3 linked regions of the Xenopus tropicalis genome follow. The protein of the gene in region 3 interacts with the protein of the main gene of each other region in a biochemical or structural test. Links are inferred from orthologs where the notes say so. Each region holds a gene or a part of one and is shown on either strand. Other genes may lie near its edges.

The links. The genes of interacting proteins can lie anywhere in the genome.
Region 1: the proteins of rad51 (region 3) and fbh1 form a complex in vitro, tested with the Homo sapiens proteins (2 studies listed by BioGRID, with this or other methods). The link is inferred for Xenopus tropicalis from reciprocal best matches to the Homo sapiens genes RAD51 and FBH1.
Region 2: the proteins of rad51 (region 3) and rpa1 form a complex in vitro, tested with the Homo sapiens proteins (2 studies listed by BioGRID). The link is inferred for Xenopus tropicalis from reciprocal best matches to the Homo sapiens genes RAD51 and RPA1.

What each region holds. Positions count from the first base shown.
Region 1 is NC_030679.2:84,415,421-84,423,410, forward strand, and holds part of fbh1 (F-box DNA helicase 1), read right to left. Parts: intron 6,978-7,990; coding exon 6,897-6,977; intron 5,245-6,896; coding exon 5,150-5,244; intron 3,836-5,149; coding exon 3,667-3,835; intron 2,774-3,666; coding exon 2,551-2,773; intron 2,142-2,550; coding exon 2,054-2,141; intron 969-2,053; coding exon 882-968; intron 596-881; coding exon 459-595; intron 1-458. UniProt on the Homo sapiens protein: 3'-5' DNA helicase and substrate-recognition component of the SCF(FBH1) E3 ubiquitin ligase complex that plays a key role in response to stalled/damaged replication forks.
Region 2 is NC_030678.2:36,006,035-36,013,807, reverse strand, and holds the end of rpa1 (replication protein A 70 kDa DNA-binding subunit), read left to right. Parts: coding exon 1-26; intron 27-2,594; coding exon 2,595-2,681; intron 2,682-4,661; coding exon 4,662-4,772; 3' UTR 4,773-5,785; downstream 5,786-7,773. UniProt on the Homo sapiens protein: As part of the heterotrimeric replication protein A complex (RPA/RP-A), binds and stabilizes single-stranded DNA intermediates that form during DNA replication or upon DNA stress.
Region 3 is NC_030684.2:115,023,423-115,032,104, reverse strand, and holds the start of rad51 (DNA repair protein RAD51 homolog 1), read right to left. Parts: upstream 4,395-8,682; 5' UTR 4,360-4,394; intron 4,302-4,359; exon of another isoform or gene 4,202-4,301; intron 3,379-4,201; 5' UTR 2,846-3,378; intron 2,753-2,845; 5' UTR 2,745-2,752; coding exon 2,667-2,744; intron 2,238-2,666; coding exon 2,100-2,237; intron 1,634-2,099; coding exon 1,516-1,633; intron 1,248-1,515; coding exon 1,156-1,247; intron 1-1,155.

The sequences.
Region 1 (7,990 bases), on a different chromosome or scaffold from region 3:
TGAAGACTAATTGCAAATTGTCTCAAATTATCACTGTCTACATCATACTAAAATGTAATTTGAATGTGAACTACCTCTTCAGTAGGATAACAGTTAAAGATTATTGACAAGCTACAACCTTCATGGGAGAGTGTCAATTTCCAAATCTATTTTACAAAAAAGTTTAAAAATGTACATTTGCATGTACATGCAAAGTTAAAGCAACTGTGCATAAAATCTACAGACTAACACTGTGGAGAAAATATTTAGGTGCAGGACTAATTCACCTATTTAGAATAAAAATAAATCCAAAATCAATGACCAACAATCACCTTTGTTGTAACCTTTTAGGATCTTAAGGATTATATAAATTAATCATTACATACAGATTAAACAAGGCTAAATCATTGTACAACATAGAGAAAAACAAATATAATCAGAAGTTCGTATAATAGCGAAACTATTCCATTGTATGTTACCTGAGTGAGGTAGAAGATGTGAGTGTGTGGAACTTCACAAAGAGCATTGACAGCCCCACGAAATGTATAAATCTGCTGATGAGGGTCACCAACAAAAATCTTCCCACAGGGCTGAGAAAGTACTACATCCATTATGGCTGCATTCAAATAAAAAATACATTTGCAAATAAAAAACTCATTTAAATTTCAGTTGGTCCTGATTATAAATGTATCACAAGGAAAACCATAAAATATGGACAAAAGTTTATCATAATTCTATTTAATCACATACATGAGCACTTTATTTGTAAAAATGTATACAAACTGCTCACAAATTACTGAATCCTGGTAAACATCTCCTCCATTTATCAAAATCCACACTTTGGACTATAATATAGACTTTTTTTTTAATCACATGCATTACTTCATTACAGACTTACAAACCTGGCGTGCAGTCTTGAGCTTCATCAACAAATACTGCATGATAACCTGTGAGGCGGGGCCTACGTAGCTGCCAAAGTTTCAGGTAGCCTTTGGGAAAAGAAATGAACATTTATCTATAATAAGAGGCTGCAGAGAGTTGGTTGTGTTAGTCACAATGGACTGGGGAGATGTAATCCTTCAATGGGCTGTAGTACCATTTTCATGCAGCAATTTGTACACAATTCACTGAAATGTTCCTGTAGACTTTCTTTGGAATGTGTCAATATCACTTTAAATTGCTGTACTGTCTTGTTCCTTATTCTTTCTATCCTGTCTAACTAAGCATTCCTGGCACAGATCAATATTCTTAAATCCATCCGTCACTTTTTAACATGCATTCAAACTTTAGTTGTACATATCATTTTAACAGCTATATGTTATGAATAAGAATTTCAAATATTAACAGTATTTATGTATACTATTCTTTTCCACATTGTTGACTCGATTGATGCAGCTAAAATCTATCAGTACCATACTATTTTGCTCAATTACAACTACTACTGGCACAAGTGCTTTGAACACTAAGGGGGCACTCCTTAAGGCCAATAGTGGCCCTACATGAGATGATAAAAGCTGCTGACTCTTATATGTGTAATTGCTATAAAAACAAAGCCTATCGCAATCAGATATCCTAACCCAAAAACTGATGGACATGGTTGAGTAACAGGTTAATAAAATCCAATATTACTGAAAAAGGTCCACCAGACCAGCTAAGGTAGCACCAAATCCTTATTTGCAAAAAAGAAACAATTATGTGTTTTTCTCAAATGTGTGGCCTAAAGTCATGTGATATTTAAGGTTTGGTTCGGCCAGGCACTTGGATTCAGACGAATACAAATCCTGGTGAAAAAGGTTCAAATTTGGATGAATCCCAAATGAATCCTGGATTCATTTTACTATTATTCTTATAACTCATATAAATGAGAAAAAGTATGAGAAAACTTAATCGGGGGAGAATATTATAGCTTACAGAACAAAAAAGCAAAAATAGGGGGACAGAAGAAAAATAAGTAGAAGAACAAGAATAATAAAAAAAAAAAAATGAAAATCAAAGTCAAAGGGGAAACCATAATGGACAACAGGCCATAAAACAAAAACAAAATAAAAATAATAAAACTGTTTTGCTTACGAACCATCGGGCGTCATTTTATAAGCAAACTGTCTGGTTTCCTTAAGGAGTTTCATCTCCCTCCATATCTTAGAGGCTTCCCTTACAGTAAACTGGGGAACAATCAAGAACAAATATCAATTAATAAAGTTGGTCATCCATTGTTTTCACCACTCAAACTAATATCGCACAAAGATATGACAGTGTGAAATACCCCTAATTTTTCCCAGGTAATCAGCAGTGCCAAAACTACTAAAAGCTGACTGGTGTCACATTAGCCATAGACGCACAGTAACATAACATAGCTTTATTAAATAGTAAACAGTTATTAGATGAGGATTATTACCTTTCTGTTTTAGATGGCAAAAATGAATTACAAATTGTCAAAAGGTACTCAAACATCTAAATAGATAACAGCACAAAAAGATGCAGCTTCTACCAAACCTCAACAGTCGTTAGTTGCACAAGCTTAAATGAGCAGTGGAATACTCAGTTTTTCAGATTTGATGTCAAAGCACTCACCAGTTTTTCTTCTTCTGTCACCAGCACTTGATTTCCACGATTATTTTTGCACCAGATAGGAACATGCTCTACATCTATATTTTCATCAGCAGAAGAGAAGAATGTTTCAAGAGTCTTCACAACAAGCTTTGCCCTGATAAATCCAGCCATTTTTTCAGGAAGAACAAAGTTTACTGCAAATGGTGTCAGCTTGGAGTGGTTTAATTTATTTCTATTTTTATACCTAAAAGTGCAATAAATATAGAGAAAGGAATTACCTGATACATTTAATTTACCTTTTTACTTGGTTATCCAAACTTTGCTCCAAATCTAGTAATCCATAGGAACAAACAACAGGTAGTTTTTACTGGTCTAATGGATTAAAGCACATGAGATTGCTGCTGTGGTTTATTAGACCTATATCTGACATTTAATATTACATAACCGATTTAACGCACAGTTCATTGTAAAAATAAAGCTGGTTGCAAATTAAAAAATGTTTTCAATATAGTTAGCCAAACATGAAATCTATAAAGGCTGGAGTGAATGAATGTCTAGCAGAACAAAACATCCTCCTTTGCATCTCTCTAATGGTGACTAGAAGGGGGGCCACATGGGGCATAACAGTTCTGTTAGCTCCTGTTCTAGTCACCAACTAACAGATTAGAGAGACACAATGGAGTAAGTAGTGTTCTGACTATTATTTTAGACATACACCCATTCTAGCCTTTATACATTACATTTTCAACTAACAATATTGAAAACATTTTGAAATCATTTGAAAACGGATCCTTTAATTAACAACTTCATCATAACAGCAATCAACAACTTCCACAAAACAGCAATCAAAATGTTACTTATGGCCATATGAAACAAAAAACTAGAAGTACAGTGACTAAATAATAAATGGAGAGACAAATAAGCAAGTTATAGGCCACACAAACCTAAAGGTCTTCTTCTACTCTAGGTACATGGTCACTACTTTTAAGGGACAAAAATAAGAAAAAATTGGCGTGAGAAATTCCACACACTGGTTTGCTAATATTTAAAAGCTATTTCATATAGATTTACATGATTTATATTTTTTTCATTTAAAACAGATATGAACATGGATTCGACAGTAGCAGTAAAACCTACAATACACCAGTCTGTGTAAAGGCCAAAGAATGGAAAGTCCTGCACTTCACATTCCTGGGAAACAGCAAGGCAGCATGTTCTGCGATAGACCTGTTGAATGTGGCATATAAAAATTGAAGGTGAGGTCTGCTCTCTGCATACTTGATCAGAGTTGACGTTTTTCCAGTACCTATAAAGATACAAAAACAGATATTTTAATATAAAATTGTGATGGAAAACATGTTCACAAAAGCATAATTAAAACATGATCTTTCTTACATAAGTAATTCCGTGCATAAACATTTCCCTTCCAAATCAACAAAACTCAAGGAATAAAATTCAAGCACAAAAAATGTAATATACATAAATATTTTCCTAGTATTTTACTTTGAATAATGTGTATGGCAGCCATAATTATCCACATGTGTTCTTTAACTTAATAGCTAAATCTACCAAAACAGGCTGTTAACAAATTGAGAATTATGTCACAACATCTTCTTTTAGGTTAGTCGATAAATTAAATAATAGAAAAAAAACCTTCTGTGACAATTCTCATGTGCAGTTGTGTGAATAAATACCCACATTATAAAGCATACATGATAGAGTCAGCTCATTAAATGTTCACTATATCAAACATGGCTGTCATTTATTAAATCAATAAAACTGAAAACTTCAACCTTTGTTAAATGTGCCCTTTATAGTTGGCATAAGCCACCTCAGAAAGCTCCCTCTCTCCGTGTTTTAACACCAATGTCCTCAGTAAATCCTGTATGTACTAGTGATATGCTGGTCAGGCTGTCCCAGCACACTACATGGGGGTAGTGGGATGGTGGCAGGTCTAACTAACAGTTCCTACTAGTAACCAACTTTAGTGACATCTCTGTTTTGCACCAGCCCCTTGATGACATTAACACATTTATCAACCCCCTCCAGTGATGTGTCGACTAATATCCCTCCTACCTCTGACATTAGAGGGGGAAGGGTTGTGTATAAATAGTGCTGCAAAATGTTGGTCTGGTTTTGGTTATTGTGGGTTAGGGTCAGGGTAGGTTAAAAAATTTGCAACCTGCACATCACTATTATATACTCATACTCAGTTCAGCTGTGTTGTGGGGGGCCAGTTGTGGGAACTTCTGTGCAAACACATTTCAAAAAGTTGCTGACAAAAGATTTTTTCGCGCAAATTGTATTGGTAACGGAAAAGTCGCGACAATTTCTGAAAAGTCGTAAAGGCGACGAAAAAAACGCAAAAAATACAAAGAAGTCGCAAAATGTTCGTTTTCCAATCGGAATTTTTCCAATTCGGATTCGTGGGTTAGTAAATGTGCCCCTAAACGATCTGATTTTAATGTATCTGGACACCATATTATGTATTTATGTTTTTATTGTTTATGTGTATGAGCACAGTATAACATTCAGCTAGAATCATATGAAAGATGGGAATTAAACATTTTCATCCCTTATAATACATTATCCCTTCATTATGTTTTGTCTTGATTTATACCTGCAAAAGCCATGATTTTCACCACCTGCCCAGGAGCAATGTCATGGTTTATTATTTGCCTTTGCTCTTTGGTTAGATTTAAGGTTGGTCTCTGCCTAGGAATAAAAAAAAAAAAAAAAAAAAATAGGTGGTTATAAGAATACTGTTTTACTGGTATGGGATTCCTTCTCTGGAAACCGATTATCCAGAAAGCTATAAATTAGGGAAAAGTCATCTCACATAGAGTTCATTTTAGGCAAATCATTTTGTTTTTCATTATTTCCTTTTCCTCTGTAATTATAGCATAATATCTTGTACTGGAGGCTATCTAAGCTGCAGGAATTCATAAAAGAGGCAAATGATTTCACTGGGAAAGGGTTAATCCCTGGGTTGATACCTGGGCCATGCTCTTGTTAGCAGTAAACTGAACCATCTCAGGGTTTTTATGTGCAAGCAACACAAAGTGATCCTTTTCCTGCTTCTTCTTTTACTCCACTGCTCATGCGTCAGCCCCACAATTCTTTCTTCAGAATTTTAAAGAAATAAGAAGCAGAAGAACTGGACTGTTTTGTGGAGGTCCCTACAAAGATCCCCAAACCAGGGCAGATGAGAAATGGAGACCAGGGAGATTCAGGAAGTAGGGACAAACAAAAGGACATTAGGGAAGTTGTAGCAGAGTTGGGTATAGAACACAGAGTGCAGGGAGAAAAAGCAAACCAGCAGGAAAAAGGTGCAAGGACCTCCTGGCAAAGCCACATAGTTCTATTTTTTATAGAAAATTTTACCTTTTTGGTATGACTGTTTTTGCCTGAGTTTAAATAAATGGGCATGTTAAATTTTTGATATTCTGTAGATTTAGAAGGGTGGTTCACTTTTAAGTCTATTACAGAATCTCTTATGCCAAGCTCTTTGCAACATCCTCTTCTGCACCTTTCCAGTTTTCAATAGAGGGTCACTGGCCCCAGCAGCTATTGCTCTGTGAGGCTACAATTTTATTGTTACTTTTGATTCAGTCCCACTCCTATTTATATTTGTCTCTCTTTCAAGCCACTTTTTGGCTGCTAGGCTAAACAAGACCCTAGCTCCTGAAATTGTTACTGGAGAGCGGCTCAACAAAAAACTAGATAAATGAAAAAAAAAACCCCACAAAAAATAAAAAAATGAAAACCAAATGAAAATTGTCTTAGAATATCACTGTCTATGTCAGGGGTCGGAAACCTTTTTGGCTGAGAGAGCCATAAACACCACATATTTTGAAATGTAATTCCATGAGAGCCATACAATATGTTTAAGCCGGGCCCTCGATTTGCGGCTGCCTGTGGAGGATGATGTGGCTTCAGGCCTGTTTGGCCGGGGATGCTGCTGGGCAATGTAGGATGGGTACCAAGGATGCTGGATGCGATGTGAAGGAGGGTGTGGCCTGCGCTCGGCCGATAGAATACGTGTTCTATGCCTTAGAACACGTCTTCTATCCACCGAGCGCAGGCCACGCCCCCTGTAATTTTTATTATTAAAGATTTGGCAGTGAGCCAGATGCAGCCATCAAAAGAGCCACATCTGGCTCCCGAGCCATAGGTTCCCTACCCCTGGTCTATGTCATACTAAAAGTTAATTTAAGGTGAAAAACCCCTTTAAGCACTGAACAATTCAGTGCCTTAAACCTGAACAATGTGACCCCCTTAAATGGGAACCATCGGTCTGTAATAAATATGCCTTGCAAATAATCTTTAATAACCAGCTGTGTTTTAATTCCGTAGCAAATACTCACTCTGATTTAAAAGGAAATGTTTTTGGTGGAGCACAGCTATTTTCTTGAAGATATAAGCAATAGATAACATTGTAGTAAATCCTGGAGGGAAAAAGTAAAAACATTACACTTAAAAGTGTCCCAATACAGTACTATAGAGTTGTGTAAAATAAAGTTAAACTGATACTTCATGTTACTTCTATGAAGATAATCATTCATTTTTTTTTTAAGAACTGTATTAAGGCAAAGGATGAAGACTATAACGTGTCCAAAATCATAAGTATTCAGGACCAGAGATATAGAATATATACATATAAATACGGTATATACACAGGCTTTGAATACATTATTATATAAATACAGTACCCTGAAAAAGTATTCATATTATTATCTATTTAACTGAAACCGAAAAGCTTCAATGAAATGTTAATCTCTGTAAATTGTTTTTATATCAAAGCAGTTAACTGAAGTTCATTTTTTACTCCGATCTTATTATATGTTAGATAAATTTAAAAAATGGTGTTGGCATAATCATTAAATAACTATGTTTTAATATTTTGAAAAGGCAACTTTCACAGTAATATAAGCTTAAAGTATTTTGAGTAGGTTATTACCAGCTTTGCACGCTGTTTGGCATAAATTCTTCCAGGCAGATTAGCTTCAGGTTGTTCAGGTCTTATAGATGTTCTTTTTCAGTTTTTAAATAGGGCCCCAGATTTTCAGTTAGATAAAGACCAGAGCTTTGTTTTTTTTTTCTCTAGTTGACTGCCCTGCTTAAGATGAACTTTTCTCAAAACTTCATGTTTTTGCAGACGGAAACAGGTACTTTTGCAATATTTTTCAGTATTGTGCACCAACTATATTTCTTTATTAACATGATGTGCAAAGCCTTCTGATGAAAAACATACATAAACTTTGGCTAAAAGTCTTTGCTTGATCTCATATAACCACAAACCATTTTCCTACATCACAGCTAAAGGTCCCCATACACGGGCCAATTGGAGCTGCCGATATCGGTCCCTTGGACCGTCTCGGCAGCTTATCGGCCCATGTAGGGGCAGAAACGAAGGGCCTGGCCGACCGATATCTGTCCTGAAACTGGCCAGATATCGATC
Region 2 (7,773 bases), on a different chromosome or scaffold from region 3:
CTTATCTTGGTGAACTTAAGGAGAAGGTAAATTGCAGAACCACATATAAAATTGTAAATATTAGTGGATTAAGCATGAATGTGCAGATTTATCCCTTAATGGCAAAACTGAGGTTTTAGAGCCTAACAGGAGATGGTTGTGAGAATGGATTTAAAGGATAAAGCAATGTGTTACCTTACATTACACCTTTTAGAAGCATTGCAAAAACAGCCTCCATTTTATATTAGCCTATAACCACAGGGAAGACAGAGATCAGCATGGAAAAATAAAAATCTGTGTGCAGGAAAGCAAATCATGATTTCATTTAAAGATTAATTTAAAAAAGACACCGTTCTGATCCATGTACTCTTTAGCTGTAGATTAAAAGGGGTAATACCAAACTATACCTTTTAAGGGCAAAGACACATGGGGCGATTAGTCGCCTTGACTTTTTTTTTTTTTAAAAGTCTGTTGTGGCGACTAATTGCAGCGACTTTCCCACCATAGAGAACTGTGTTAGTCTCTGCAACTAATTGCGTGTGCAGTTTTTCACTTTGTCTTCACCGTTAAAAGGAAAACATAACTCAATTTAAGCAACTGTTGCCTGTCATTTTCAGCATATCCAGAGGACAACGCCTTTTTATATTTTTCAAAACACTGCAGTTTTCTATGGTGCAGCCTCTAGAACATCTGTATCGGGTAATGCAAACTGCACCTAATTCTTCACTGTGTCTGTATGGACTCAGGCCTGTTAGGTAGATGTTCCACCAAAAGTGATTTGTACTAAATAATGTTCTCTGGCAAATCCTGTCCTACCACAACAACCCCTCAGCTGATTTATTTGAGCCCCAACTGAAGGGCTTCAGGTTTTCCTGTTAGGGTTTATGGGACATGAGGCTTATCCACAGTATAAAGGGTAAACACTGTCAAATGATGAACTTCTGCTAACCTAGTACTGTGCAATATTTATGGCCAGGACGGGCATTCCTTTCCATCTTAAAACTTCAATTTGCGCAGCTACAAGTATGGGATCTATTATCTAGAATACTTTGGATAAAGGGGTCTATAATTGTGGTTCATACATTAAAGGGATAATGTCGTCATGGCAAAGAAAATAATTCACTCTACCATTTAAAATGGTGTTCTTAAACCAACAAATGTATTTCTTTTTAGTTGTAATATTGGTGTGTAGCCATCTCAGTGCATTGTGTCTGAGTCTGAGCTTTTAGGAGGAGCCGGCGCTACACATTAGAACTCTTTTCAGATAACCTATTCTTTCTCCTACTCCCATGTAACTGGAGGAGTCCCAAGCCAGACTTGGATTTCTTACTATTGAGTGCTATTCTGATACCTACTGGGAGCTGCTATCTTGCTCCCTTCCCATTGTTCTGCTGATCGGCTGCTGGGAGGAGGGTGATATCACTCCAACTTTTGCAGCGCAGCAGTAAAGTGTAACTGAAGTTTATCAGAGCGCAGGTCACATGGCTGCGGCGCCCTGGGAAATGAAAAATATGACAAGCATCATGTGAAATTTCAAAATTAAATAAAAAAAAATCTGTTTGCATTTTTTTAAAAAACAGATTTTTAATGCAGGATTCTGCTGGAGAAGCTTTTGTATTTTACAGTATTCCTTTAAGTCCACTAAAAAAACATTTAAACATGAACCCAATTGGATTGTTTTGCCAGCAATATGCTTTCCTGGAGCTTTAATATTATAGAAAAAAAAAATCAAAGCCATTATAATTATGTGCTCAAAATAGATTCTGTGGAATATGGCCTTCCTGAAATTCCTGCTTTCTGGATAACAATTTCCAGATAAGGGATCCCATACCTGTACAAAGGTGGATTCAGAGCCTTTTCTAATGCATTGTACTAAAAGTACATAAACATGTCTGCAATAGAAAGGCTTGTTCGCAATTTGTCTTCTTTAGAGAAGGCACTGCACTCTGATTGTAACAGGAGTCTAATGCATTATGATTTTTCTTTTTTTAATCGCCTATTAGAATTTAAAATTTTGCTGAATCAGCTATTAAAATGTAAAAGATGAATGCAGATGGGGTTTTATTTTTGTCACCCTTCTCTGTATGTAGATAGATGCAGATTAAAAGGCAATTGTGTTGGGAAAGCAAAGGTTTCTGAAGTTACCTTCACTGCTCCACCATATTTGTTGATAAACAATCTTGTGTAAAAACCCAGACAGATGCCTTGTTCCGTTGCTGTGTAAGGACTAGAGCCCAGTTTATAGCATGAATATCTGTTTATAGAAGCAAGCAGAGGCTATTGAGTATAAGTGATTCTAACAAGCCTTTTTCACATCTTGAAGGTTTTGTCTCTATTTATCAGAATGCTAACTGCTTTTCCTCATCTCTCCAGCAAAAAAAATGCTCTCTGCTGCTTTTCATTTAAAAGTAGTCTGTGGGTGTCCACACTTACAGCGAGCACATTCTTTGTTGAATAAATTCCTTCTGGGGAGAGAGGAAAGGACTTTTTTTTTTTTTCTCATGACTGCTGAGCTATTTTGACAAGTTTAAAGGTGCAATTAGGTCCCGGACTGAGGGAGCTTTCTGCTGGCTGATATGTCCTTTAACGGAAACATTTCTCTGCTCTACTTGCAGAACGAGCAAGCCTATGATGAGGTGTTTCAGAATGCCAACTTCCGTTCTTACACGTTTAGGATTCGAGTTAAGCTAGAGACATACAATGTAAGTATATTCTACTTATACTGTTCACTCCCTTTTAGTTTACTTGTAATAACCAAACATTCCCTCAGTGGTCTTTGCTGCACTCACTCATTTTGGAGGCTTCATTTTATTTTTGTGTTTTTGCACTTTATGATGCTTTGCTTGAGTAACCATAGGACAGCAACTTATGGTAAAATGCAGTACAGACAGCATGTCTTCTGATTCACCAGCAACCACATACTGGAAGAAATGTCAGAGCATTTTGTGTTGGATGCATGGAAGCACCTAAACAATTGCATAGGTACTATTATGCCTCAACTGCAAGGTTGTAAGCTCTCATAAACTGTGTTCTCATATCCATTATGTTCTGTTTGTCTCTATGGAATATGTTGGCATTTTTTAATTATCTAAAATAATGAAATAGTCCAAAGGCTTACATATTGATCCTTTGATTTAGACCCCTTTCCCAATATATTGTATTGATGGCCTTTGCTTCTACAGGTATACAAAACTGCAAATTACAAGAAGGAACCATGAGAGAAGGCCTTATATCATGGTCCATTTTAAGCAAATAATGTTTTTGATACTTATTGCTATGCTATACTAATTAGTTACCAAGAAGCAGAAGATACTGTTTAAACTCCATACATTTGTGGCAGAACAGTACTATTGAGTTTGTTTAATGTTGAAATGCTTTTTTTTAGTTGACTTAAGGTTAGGTGATCCCCCTTATCTGAAAAAACCCCAGGTTCCACAAAAATCTGGGTAATTCCATACCTCAACAATAAATCTAGCAAATAAACAAAATGCCTTATATTCTGCACCTTGAAAATTTGGAAGTTATACACTGAACTCTGCTCTGCTGCACATATTTGCGGGAAACAAGATGGTTGCATGTTACTTACTAGAGTAGTTCCCTGGGTCAGGGAATTTTTTAAGCCAACAGTGGAACCAGCCTGGGCTCTGAGATTAGTGGTTCTAATCGTTTAAGGATGTTTAACAACTGGAGACCAGTTATTAAGACTTTCCTTGTCCTTCTAAGGATGTGCTCAGTTAATTTAACTCCTGTGTGGTAGTGGCAGAATTCTATGTGGGTGTAAAGTGGCCTTGAGTATTTATTACATTTCTAAAGAATCATAAAATTTGATTAATAAATTGTACAACATTAAGAAGTCAGAAGGTACTAGACTGCATTTTATTCAGCATGCATAATGCAGAATATGCTAAAGTTTTAAGATATTAGGTTAATAGGTACTTAACGTCTCCTAAGTTTATTAATCCAAGCAGGAATTTTGGAGACAGTAAATATATTCCAAGGCTTGACAGATACTAAACCGTCTGAACAGAAGAAAGCGCATGAGCTGGCAGAGTGCAAGAAACCAGGAACTTTGCTTCTTTGGATGACTTGCTGTATTGCTTGTGTAAAATTTCAGATTAAATTGGTGGAGCAGATTCCACCTCCTGCAAAAACAGGTGGAGGCATGATGTGTGTTAGCTTTTATCTCTACACTGACACCGACTGTGGTACATCAAAGGAGCACAATGCTGTGTTGTGTTTGACTCAAGGCAGAACCCTTGGGAAAAAGTGGGTTTAGTGGGGATGCAGCAGCAGGGAAATGACCCTTACTCTATTCCACACAGTGACCTATTGAGGCATGACTCTGTCGGGGGACTGCTATAACTTTAAGCTGGTTACCGTACCATATTGTAATGGTGGCCTAGAACAGTGACCTGGGGAGATTTGGAGGAGTATGTCTATTTGCTCTTTTAGATACACCTAGAAGAAAATGTTCAAGGTTAATTAGGCTAAGACAGAGTGAAAAACGATCTTTGCAGATATTCTTATAACTATTGCTGAATGTATAATGTTTGTTTTACTCTGACCTTGTTATGAGCCGATAGGAACCCTTGTTTTCTAGCTTATTTTTTTTTGTAAAGCTTTAAGTTGGTCTTTAAATGTCTTCATTTTTAGTCTTTAACCAGTGTATTTTTGTTTAAAAGGATGAATCTCGTATAAAGGCCACAGCAATGGATGTGAAGCCCGTTGACCACAAAGAATACTCTAGAAGGCTGATTATGAACATTAGGAAAATGGCAGCTCAAGGTGTCTGATTTGCCATAAAGACCGTGATAAATCACTTAAAAGATATGGGAACGAAAATAAAATGTTTCATGGATGGACCAATACTAAAGCACTGAAGCTTAAACTGCATCATCTTCAAAATGATATAACCATTAGCACTTGCTCCCCAGAGTGTCCAGCTAGACCAAGTGAGCCGGAATAGATATAAGCATACATTCTTTTCATTCTGCTTTCCTTAAAACTCTCATCAACAAAGCAAAGCGTTCTCTACTGCTCTCATGGATGAGAAAAGGCCCCCAGCAGAATCCCCAAGGGGGGGTGGTCATTTGCATTTGTCATTGCTTACTGTTTAATTCTGTATGTATCCCAGATGCAGAGGAGGTAATGGAAGAACTGGATTGGACATTTGTTTGCTTCATTTTAATTTTGAATGCATAATTTGTGAGTGCCCTTCCTTTTGTGCAAGTATGTAGTTACCTTTAAGGAAGGCTTCCTTTCTTTTGGCTTTAGGTGCCATGAGTAGTATATTGTTTGGGGACTCCCTGTCTTCCTGTAAAAGACCTGGGGCTCCCAACCTCCTCTGCAAGTTTCTGCATCAGCCGGATGGATGTGCCATACTGTTTGCTAACGCTTGGAATGACAATATGGAAGAATTATTAATCAAAGACCTATCTTTTCTATCTGAAGACTTTCCTTCGGGGTTTAATAGACTGAGTCAGATGGCCCTGATATTAATCAAAATTCTCTCTTCTGAGGAGCTCTGATAAGCATTGACTCTCTGCCCCCTGGGGAAATCTGGCCAACTACAAAGCTTTGCTTTATTTTTCATTTAAATTAATATTTTGCTTTCTTACTCTCCCCTTTTCTTGACAGTGTGTAATTGCCAAAGTTTGCCGTTTGTACATTTACTGCTTCTCCTACACTTAAACTACTTTGCTATTTTTTTTTTCTTTTCTCAATGACTGAATTAATCGCTGTAGTTATAATGCAAAGAAAGGGGTTTCCTTTTATCCCCTAAACAAAATTAAAAGAAAAAGTTTAATTTTGCATGTGTGTTTGCCTTTGTATAACCCTGTTTCTACTGGAGAGCAATTAATATTTTCTTGGTGGAATAAGGTGAGAAATGCTGATATTTCCCAGGCATTATTACCATTTGCTTTGCTCAGATAGGATTCTTGACTTTCACTGGTTTTAAAGAGCTGAGACAGCATTTTTGCATGCTTTTATTGACATGTGCAGAGCCCTTGGAAAGCAGGAAGGATTTAGAATTTGCCTAGAAAACTGTAATTCTGCTGGTGGGATGCATTAGGAGCTCTGTGCTGCCCCAGTGAGGGCTTCATTATATTCACTGCATGTCTTCTTCCTTTGGATAACTTATCTGCTACAGAAATCAGTGTTCTAAAGAATCCAAGTCTGTACTACCGTCATTTAGCTTTTTTTCCCCTGGCCTTCCTTGGCGGCACAGAATTTACAACTGAAACAGCTTTCCAAATGTCACCCACCGTTTTCATTAAGATGTAGAAAACAGTAACAAATTGGTACATTTGCTGCCTCAAAAAATGGTCTTTTGCCGTGTGTTAGTCCTAGGGATATGTTGCAAAGAACTCTCAAATCCTAAAATGGTTTTAATCCAAACGTAAGCGCTAACTCAGTGTGTTTCAGCCCCATGCAAGGGTCTTTCATCAGAGGCCAAATTATTCCTTACAGCAGGGTGTATAGGGGAAATACGATATTTATATTCAATAGCATGCTCTGTATTCAGGCCCAGACTGGCAATCTGTATTCTGGCAAATGCCAGTGGTGCTGCTGTAAGATGCCTGTTTGGGTCTATGTGTACTTTAAAAGCCGGGGCCTACTTTAAATCCCAGTCCAAGCCTGTCTCTATTATATCTTTTGATCAGTATGGTAGGGCTTGTCAAAATCTTGGGTTAACACCAAAAATGAAAGAGTTTGACATGCGTATAAATATAATGTGCTGTTACTTTGCAAGAATTGTTTTTTCTTTGGAAATAACTAGATGGTTTATATAAATTAGCTGCAGTATAGCCCTGGGGGCAGTAATTCAAGTTAAATAGGGCAAAAAAAAAAAAAAAGCAACAGTGAGTATAGGCTAGGACAGCCTTTCTATACTACTGTACATTTTTCAGCTGTTTGTATAGCAATAATAATGTCTGTAGCCAATATGGAAATTCATTTGCACTAGGCAGGTGAATGCAAAGTATAATAAACTCACCAAAAGTACTATACTGTGTATGCACCTAAACATTTTGGTAATGTGAATTCAGTATGGCATTCTTCAAGAAAGTAACCTAGGCCAGTGTTATTTTTATGGGAAGTGTGCACTGCCCTGAGCCACTAGCTGTTTCACTCCCTAGGGGATATCCAACGCATTGGCACCAACCTATAGTTTAACCTTTACTTCTCCTTTAATATATATTTTTTAAGTGTTGATCCAATGAAAGGTTGATGGTTTGGGTTCTCTTGTACAAACTAGACACCACTAAACAGGTTTAGTTGCCCTTGCTACCAAGCAAAATATAATGTTACCTGTTGGTTCATGGTTCTAGTTAAGTTTAAATACATGAGGAAAAGGTCCCTTTTGATTTAAGCAAGGAACAACAAGATTGTCAGGACTGTGTGAACAAGGCAGAAGTTCCCTAAAATAAGAGCAAAGGGCATGAATCTGTAGAACCTGGTGGTGGTGTGTGTACATGCTGCTCACTGCCAGTGGCCTATGTGAGAATGCACTCAGACAGCATGCAAATAAATGGTTCAGTGCATTCCCAAGTCAGTGAGACCTGAGGCTGGTGCCTTTATTAGCGCCTTTATGGCTTTTGCTAGGTGATATGCATACTGCCATTTTCATACCTTCAACTTTAAGTTGATTTTACAAACAAGGGTTGCAATAAAAATATGCTCTAAGGGCCCTGTTTCCAAAAGTTTGCAATCTAAAGTGCATTGAAAATTCTTCTACAAAATACATTTACACATTTTAGCCACTGACTACTGTGCCATATAAATGGCACAAGT
Region 3 (8,682 bases):
AGTTAAATTTGATGGCTGCCGAGCATGGACAGCTTGCTTTAAATCATCCTATAGATTTTCGATGATATTCAAGACGGGGGGCTGTGACGGCCATTCCAGAATATTGTACTTGTCCCTCTGCATAAATGCCTTTGTAGGGTTTCCAACTGTGTTTAGGGTCATTGTCTTGTTGGAATATCCAGCCCTTGTGTAACTTCAACTTTGTGACTGATGTTTAAACATTATCCTGAAGAATTTGTTGATACTGGGTTGAATTCATCAGACCCTCGACTTTAAGAAGGGCCCAGTCCCTGAACTAGCCACACAGCATGATGGAACCTGCACCAAATTTGACAGAAGGTAGCAGGTGTTTTTCTTGGAATGCAGTTTTCTTCTTCCGCCATGCAAAGCACTTTTTGTCATGTCCAAATAACTCCATTTTTGTCTCATCAGTCCAAAGAACTTTGTTCCATAATGACTGTGGCTTGCCTAAATGAGCTTTTGCATACAAGCGGCTCTGTTTGTGGCATGAGTGCAGAAAGGGCTTCTTTCTCATCACCCTGCCATACAGATGTTCTTTGTGCAAATTGTGCTGAATGGTAGAACGATGTACAGATATGCCATCTGCAGCAAGATGTTCTTGCAGGGTCTTTGGAGGTGATCTTTGGGGATGCCAAATAAAAACTGTGATTGGCTATTTGGTAGCCCCATGGACTGATGGCCAGCAGAAGACTCTGCTTGGAATAAAACTGTGTCTCTATGCTTCCAAAACTAAACTAAACTAAACTAAACTAAAATGGACACCTACTTTGAGACCACTGGGAGCAACATCAAAGGGGGTGGCGAGCAATATGTTGCTTATGAGCCACTGGTTGGGGATCACTGCCCTAAACCATGATACTGAACAATCTTTGTTTTCAGATCTTTTGCGAGTTGCTTTGAAGATCCCATGCTGTCACTCTTAAGAGGAGAGTCAACTGGCCATTTTAAATACCTTTTAAATAATCTTTGTTCAGAAAACACCCCAGTACTCATATGTTCCTGGGAAATAAGACATACCACTTCTCTTTGTTGTTGGAAGGGGAGTAAATTATTATGCAGGATGAAAGGGGTTCTCATACTTTTTCATATGACTGTATAACTTAGGGCTTTGTAGGGTGCAGAAGGACTCCTTACCTGACAGGTGACAGCCAGGGTGTGACACAGCTGAGTCTTCCCAGTGCGAAACTCACCAAACATCTCTGTGATAGAGCCCGTTTCAATGCCCCCTAGTGGAAAAAAAAGAATTTGCTTTTTATTAACTGAATTACATTTTTCATGCATTACATTTAAACATTAAGGCTCATATGGCCCTGATATAAAGGGTTCCTGCTGGACACACCCGTAATAGGTGCCAGCAACAGTGTTATTCACAAGAAACAAACATTATTTGTAGAAACCCAGGTTTTTAGACAATTGCAAGAAAACAGAAATAGCTTCCTATAGTGTTAATTACATTATAACCATAACCAAGACAAAGTGTAACAGAGGCTGCACCTTGCAGAAGCTTGTCGAGCTCTTTGGAGCCAGTACTAATCTGTATGATTTCAGAGCGCCTCTGGTGAAACTCTGTGGCTGTAGTGAATCCCATGGGCACCAGTTTGGCGGCTTCTGCCTTAAATATAAGCAAAACACATACAATTTCACTGTTAGCATTTCACAATCACCCACTGTAAATATAACCCACATGGTCAATCTTGCGTCCCTCCTGGGCACAAGGAGAATGACAAAGAATAATATATATATGAATTACCATCCCAAAGGTCTACAAGGATGATTGGGCATGTTATTGCCGTAAAGGGCAAGTTTTTCAAAGGAAAATGCAATCTCATAAATATTACATATATCTATTATGCAGTACAACACAAATAAGCAAGGATTCACTGCTTATTGATTGACTATTAATGCACAGAGTTAGCCAGCCCTTACCAACACTATTCAGGTAGGCACAAGGGAATAAGTAGGTGTTTCATGTAAGATACTTTTACTGAATAAGAAACCATTTCTGTAATGATTTTGGCTCTTTACACACAGAAGGGGCAACCTTTTCACATGAGTAAAGGTCCATTTGATGAACTTACCAGGATCTTTTCAGCTTTAGCCTCACTAATGCCTTTGATATTGATCAGTTCCTTCTTTGGAGCATAAGCCACTGCTTCTACTGTGTGGAACCCAGCTTCCTCTAGTTTCTTGACATCATTTGCATTTATCCCACATTGCTGTTGGTAAGGGAGACTTAAGTCAGAAACGATCCAATAACTACTAAAACTTAACCAATTGGAAATTAGATTGCAAGCTATTTAGGAGTGTAACTGACAGTATGCAGAGGCAGATGCATTTAAATACCATCAACAACATCAAAGGGATTTAGGAAAAAACATGCAAATTAAAGCTACAAACAGATATCTATACAAAAATCTGATTCAAAGTAACTTTTTGATATACGTTTATTAAACATTTTCAATGGATTTAAAGTGCTATCTGGTTGTTTATTCACTGCATTACTGAATCTGGCTCCTAAAACAATGTAGAAGAGGACCAAACAGCCCCCCACCAGCCCAATAAAGAGTGAGTTGTCTATGGCATCTTACAGCAGCCCCTCTGGCATTTGCCAGAATTCACAGATGGCCAGTCTGGGCCGGTTTTACCTCCAGTCGGGATATTGCCTGTGGCCCAAAATTCTCCTCTTCTGTGGCTTCTGCTTCATAGTGAGCTTGCATGGCCATTTTAATCACTGAACAAAAACAGAGTAAAAGGTCTTGCTTAGTATATAACCATGAGTCTCTTACTGTAGTATACAACAGATAAATGCAACAAAACCAAAGACCTTGTACACACAAACGGTATTGTGTTCTGCCTCTCTAAATTCCTTCTTGGTTTTCATCAGCTGGTGGACTGTAAGAGCACTTAGAGTGATGGACCAGGAACTTAGCACCAGGTGTGTTCCACTGACAAATATTGGGGCATGTTATTCATTTGTTTGGAATGCAGCAGTACATATACACTGCTACTGATGCAATTATAACACATCTTTAAATAAAAAGGAAATTCTCAAATATGAGAATATTTAAAAGTGTGCTCCGGAGGAAGGACAGTTATTCAAGGGGTAAATTCCTTATCCTGAGGGGTCCTTCCAATGAGATGGTTCTTGCAGATAAAGTTCATACCAGCACTGTCACTTTACTGTACAGGGCTTTGGAGGGAGCAGCAGAGTGCCATGTTCCAGTCTGATCAATGACAGGGAGCAGGCTTCTGATTGGAGGGGGCTTCTGTGTAGGGCATTACCCCTGCAGTGTTCCTCTTGTCTCAAAAACTCAAAAAAATCAAAAGTGCTCAGGGATCCTTTAGCTGCATATTTACCTTTAGGGTACAAAAAAGAATATTTTTTTGCAATAACATGATACGGTTTACTTGCTAACTGATATATTTGTGAGTATGCAAGGTTTTGGGGGGAAAAAGCATTGCGGGCAGCACAAGCAGTGATTTGGAGTAGTTAGGAGTGGTACCAACCATCACTTGCTGCAGCAGTAACTGAAAATAATCACTTGTGGAACCCCTTGTCAGGAGACTGTCTATTGGACAGACAAAAGCCCCCACAGAGGGGTACAAAACAAGTACAGAAGACTTATAAGGGGTAATGCAATAAATGTCGATAGTAAACATCTTTGCCCACATCTAGTTACCCATAGCAACGAGAGGTTTGTTTTTTAAAGAGCTGCCGCACTACATGCTTCCTGTCAATCAGCTGTTACTAGGCAAGTAGCACATTGTTAGCAGGCTCATTATGTACCACAGGAATACCCAGCGCTCCCACTATTGGCAGCCACACTTTCTATGGGTGATAGACACATCTGTAGTAAAGCAGTAGCCGGAGGCACAGCAGGTAGGCCATGTCTGATTGTTGACCTTCCCCCCCAGGCCAAGCCAGTGTCTTCCGCCCGTGGTACCGCTCAAACACTACAGTAGGGAGGCGCAGGGAATTGTCCAGGAACTACAACTCCCATAGTTTCCCCAGGATAATCGCCTGCAGCAGCAAGTCAGGAATTTTTAAAAAAGTATATAATACAGCCTGGCAACCCCCACCCCACTGCCTGGCAACCCCCACCCCACTGTCTGTTCCTATAGTCACTTGCGTATGAGCCAGGATCCCCTATACAGTGTGTAGCTTCAGTTACAGCGCTACCTGTTACACAACAGCAGATAGGCTCCCCTTTACACTACATGGGCTCGCCAGCAGCCAGAGAGCAGGTCCCACTCCCCCTCAGGGGCAGAAGCGCCAGGTTCCGTACCCACTAAGAACCCTCAGGCAGCAAGAACGTCTACCCAGTATCAGCCACTCACCCAGCTGTTCCACAGGCCCAGTCCGAAACTCCCGCCGAACCCTGCGTGCTACGTCACACGTCTAGCACCGCCTACTTGAGAGTCTGTCCGCCAGTCGCTGTAGCTTACGGGAATTCTGGGTCCTGGCGCCGAAGGGTAATGTCTATCCATGCCTAATCCGGAAGTGCCCGACTCAAAAGCATTATTATGGGCAGAGTAGATAGAAGAGTAAAGGTGGCCATAAACTATAGGCCAGGACAGGGGCAGTTTTACCAGCAAACAATGTCTAGACCTCACCCACGATTAAGAAGTCTAAGGGGCATATTTATTAACCTATGTGAAACTAATTCGCCAAAAAAACAGCATAAAAAGTTGTGTAAAATAAACAGAGAAAAGCCATCTTAATGCCAGATTTTTTTCCATAAGTTTCAGTGGAAGAAAAAACACATTAAACAATTCCGCTGATTTTACGCCGCTTTTACACGGCGAAGCCTGGCGAATTTTCTCGCTGTTTTTTACACAGCAAAATAAATATGCCCCTAAGGGGCATGAAGCATTACCGGCGATGTTGCCCAGGGCAACCAATCAGGCATTAGATTTCAATAGTTAGAAAACCAAAGCAAAGCATCTGATTGGCTGCTACAAACAACTTCACCATTAATGTTTTACTCCACTTTTTACACAGCATGATAAATATACCCCTAAGTAGTTCAGGTGGCTCCTCAAACAGTAGTAAGGTTTCGCCACTCCCAGTATAATAGTACAGTGTTGCAAACAGAGAGAGCCTTTCTGTCAAACAATTCAATGGTTTGCTGTTTGACAGAAAGTCTCTCCAGTAGACTATTTGCAACACAGGCAGTTTTAGACTAGGGCACCAGAATCTTAGGGCCTTTCCTGAAGTAACGTGTAATGTAAATGTGGTAGTGTTCACCTTGGTTTAAAGAAGGAGCAGTATTCTAAGGTAGTTTGTAGCATTAATTGTTTGAATATGTTTTTGTTCTGCAAGTCTTAAGGTGGCCATACACGAAGCAATTTTCAATCTTTGCACAAAAGATTGTTCCTACCCTCCACTGACGTTCAGGGCTGAATCGTCAGATATGGAGGTAGAAACAATAGAAATTCTACCTTCACCTGCCGATTCAGCCCTGAACGTAGATTTGATCAAAATCTTTTAACCTGGCCGATCGACAAGCCGCAGCCTTGTTGATCCACCATACACACACCGAATATCGTACGAAACAAGGTTTCATAAAATATCATCGGTGTGTATATGGCCAGCTTTAGGCTTGGAATGTCAACTTCTGCCTAGTTGCTAGGGCTTACCCTAGCAACCAGGCATCAGAATGGAAGATCAATAGCAGAAGTACAAAAATCAAAAGCTGTGCAATGCTATTCAACTGTGTATGCTCCCATCTGCACCTGAATGGTGGTCAATGCAAACTTCTCCAAGCCATGGGGCCCTTACTCAATGGTGATGGAAAGTGCATGTATTCAAATTGCAACTTAGATACACCAGGATATATTCAGATACAGATCTGCCCAGTTATAGTTACAACCCAGAGAAAAACGGAATTCATTTGCTCTGTGCAATTAGATGTGTCTGAAATGTAGGAATATTGTAGGGGGTGGAAAAAAAAGTCTATGTGTAACGGCCCTAAAAATTGGCAGTGGCTTAGAGGGGATCTAGACGCAAAAACAAATTGGGCACAGGGAAAGATGAAATTCAGCATTTATTAGGGTGAAGACACATGGAGCTACTTAGTAGCAGCTACTTTTTCACAGCTACTAAATGCCAGAAAATACCCTGCCATAGACAATTCTTAGAATTGCCTAAGTAAAATGATCAGCATTATCTGTTTTAGAAGCCGTGACAGTCTTCAACCTATGATCTCTCTGAAACTACAAGCAGCACTGCCATGCACTGTATATTAAGTCACATTCATTTGGTTTCACAAAGGGACATATTTATCTATGTGTAAAAGCAGATCATGCCACATTCTCCCAGAGCAAAATTCCACCAGGATTTTTGAAGATCATAAATGCTCACTCTCACCCTTTGATAAATATGCACCTGAAGATATGATCTTATTATGGAACATTTGACATGCATGGTATTCTTCTTAGAAGAGCAAAGTTATAGGGGATACAATTAAGATGCCTAATTCTATGCAAAGTCTGTATAAACATTTGGCAAGTGAGAACTCACTAAAGCCAGCAATACATACCCTGATTTAGTTGGACAAATCTGACCAATAGCAGCCACACTGCCTGACTGGGGGCATATATTTTAGCTCAGAAACAGACCATCCTTTGATACTGTCAGATCTCAGCTTACCCATCAGAACTGTACATTTCATCTGCCAATGCACTTCTTAATTCCATGAGATGAAGCTTTTAAACATTGCTTAACATATAGACTTGTGTGTATTGCATACATTATTTTTTAGGCCATTGCACCTAAACATGAAGGTTATGGGTACTTGATACAATCGCCAATTTTGCATCACCGTAAACTGCACTAAATTACGGTTATCCCACAGGTTGATCAGTCAGCCACCCTAGGACTGCAGGAAAGGAGATTTCACCAAGAGCACAGAAAGGGTTTCTTTACTATATGAACATGAAAGTTATCAAAGTCACTGCCTGTAAAAGTGGAAATGAGCTATTCATTCTGGAGTTCAGAAGAGGTAGGACGCATTGCTAATGGATCAGGGTATATATAATGAGTTGTTAATAAGTAGTGATCAACCCAGGAGCAAACCCATTGCTATTTTGGCACCAGGATTAAAGTTTCCTGCCTGTTAGGCTAATGCTTGCGAATGGTTTGCTTCATTGGACTTCTGTTATTTCCAGCCTTTTCTCTGGTATTGTTATAATTTGGGCTTCAATCAATTTAAAATGTAAACCATTTAGATTTAATGCCAAATCAAATTGCACAACAGACAGCGCTTTATTAAAGCTCCAATGTACATTAACCAAACAACAATTTAAAGAACACTAAAATATTAAAAGAAAGGTCAAACTCAGCCTCTGCATCACAATGGCACAAGGGCCAATATACACACACAGTAGAAACTGGGCAGGCTTTAAATTCTTAGTATATAACATTCATCTTATTATAATGTTTTAAAAAAATGTTGGAAGGGAAGCACTCTACAAAGTTATGGGTTTATTGCTAATACTGGGCTTTATTTACACTGCCAGTGTTTAAAACCAGTTAATTTGAAGCTCAAAATAAAGCCTTTTATAAATAAATAACCATATGTTGCATTACATGTACTACACTTATATTTAAATAGTGAGTAATATGCATGTAAAACTAATAAGATTAGGCTGACCACACCTTTCTTAAAACATTTAATTAGAAAACATGAAAATATTTGCAAGATTTACAAACAATATAAAACAATATATACACTCCAAGCTATATACACAGTAGGCACATCAGTTGTATGTGTGCAAATGAGCTTTATCGCTTTCTGAATCCTTCCAGCTCCACAGAAAAAACAGCTGATCCTTCCATCTACATCCAGGGCACTGTGACAATGGCAGTACGTCCAGTGTCCGTTTGTACAAAATAAATTTACACAAGAAGATGCTGATGGATATGACGCACTGCTCTCTTCAGGTACCACAGACCAACAGGAACTTTTGATAGAACGGCAGAAATATTGCTATGGCTGGAAAAAATTAAAGCAAACCATATATTAGTTCAGGGGCAAACAAAGCAATATAAGTTATTCTATATTGTATAGAGCATACCTCTATCAAAAGCTCATTCTCTTGTTGCAGTTAAGGGCAATGGTACATGGGGTGTATTGTGACCCAAGGCAAAGCAGGGCCAAGTGTGCACATGGTGACAAGCGGGAGAGCAGAGAATTGCAAAAACCGGGAACATCGGAGATCCTACAGGGCCCCGAACTAAGGTTAGACAGAGCAAAGAGGTACGTGTCTAGTTAACAACCCCCCCACTGCACCCTAGACACATGGCTCTTCTGTCCCTGGCCCACAGTAAATCTTTGCTACTGTGGGCAACAATATGTCTCTGGTCTGCTTCCCACCAGCAGTAATGCATGCAACACAATGTAGCGTGATGTTTCCTCCTGAGGCGACTTGGTAACCCTATATGGACAGCTGGCCTGCAGGAGGTGCTGCTTGGAGCAAAACTGTGCCTCCAAAACGTATCTCCAAGCTACAAATGTAAAAATAAGCACCTACTTTAAGGCCACTGGGAGCAACATCAAAGGGGGTGGTGAGCAACATGTTGCCCCCAAGCCACTGGTTGGGGATCACTGCCCTAAGGAGTAGGAGCATCACATAGCTGAAGTGATTGTGTTTAGACAG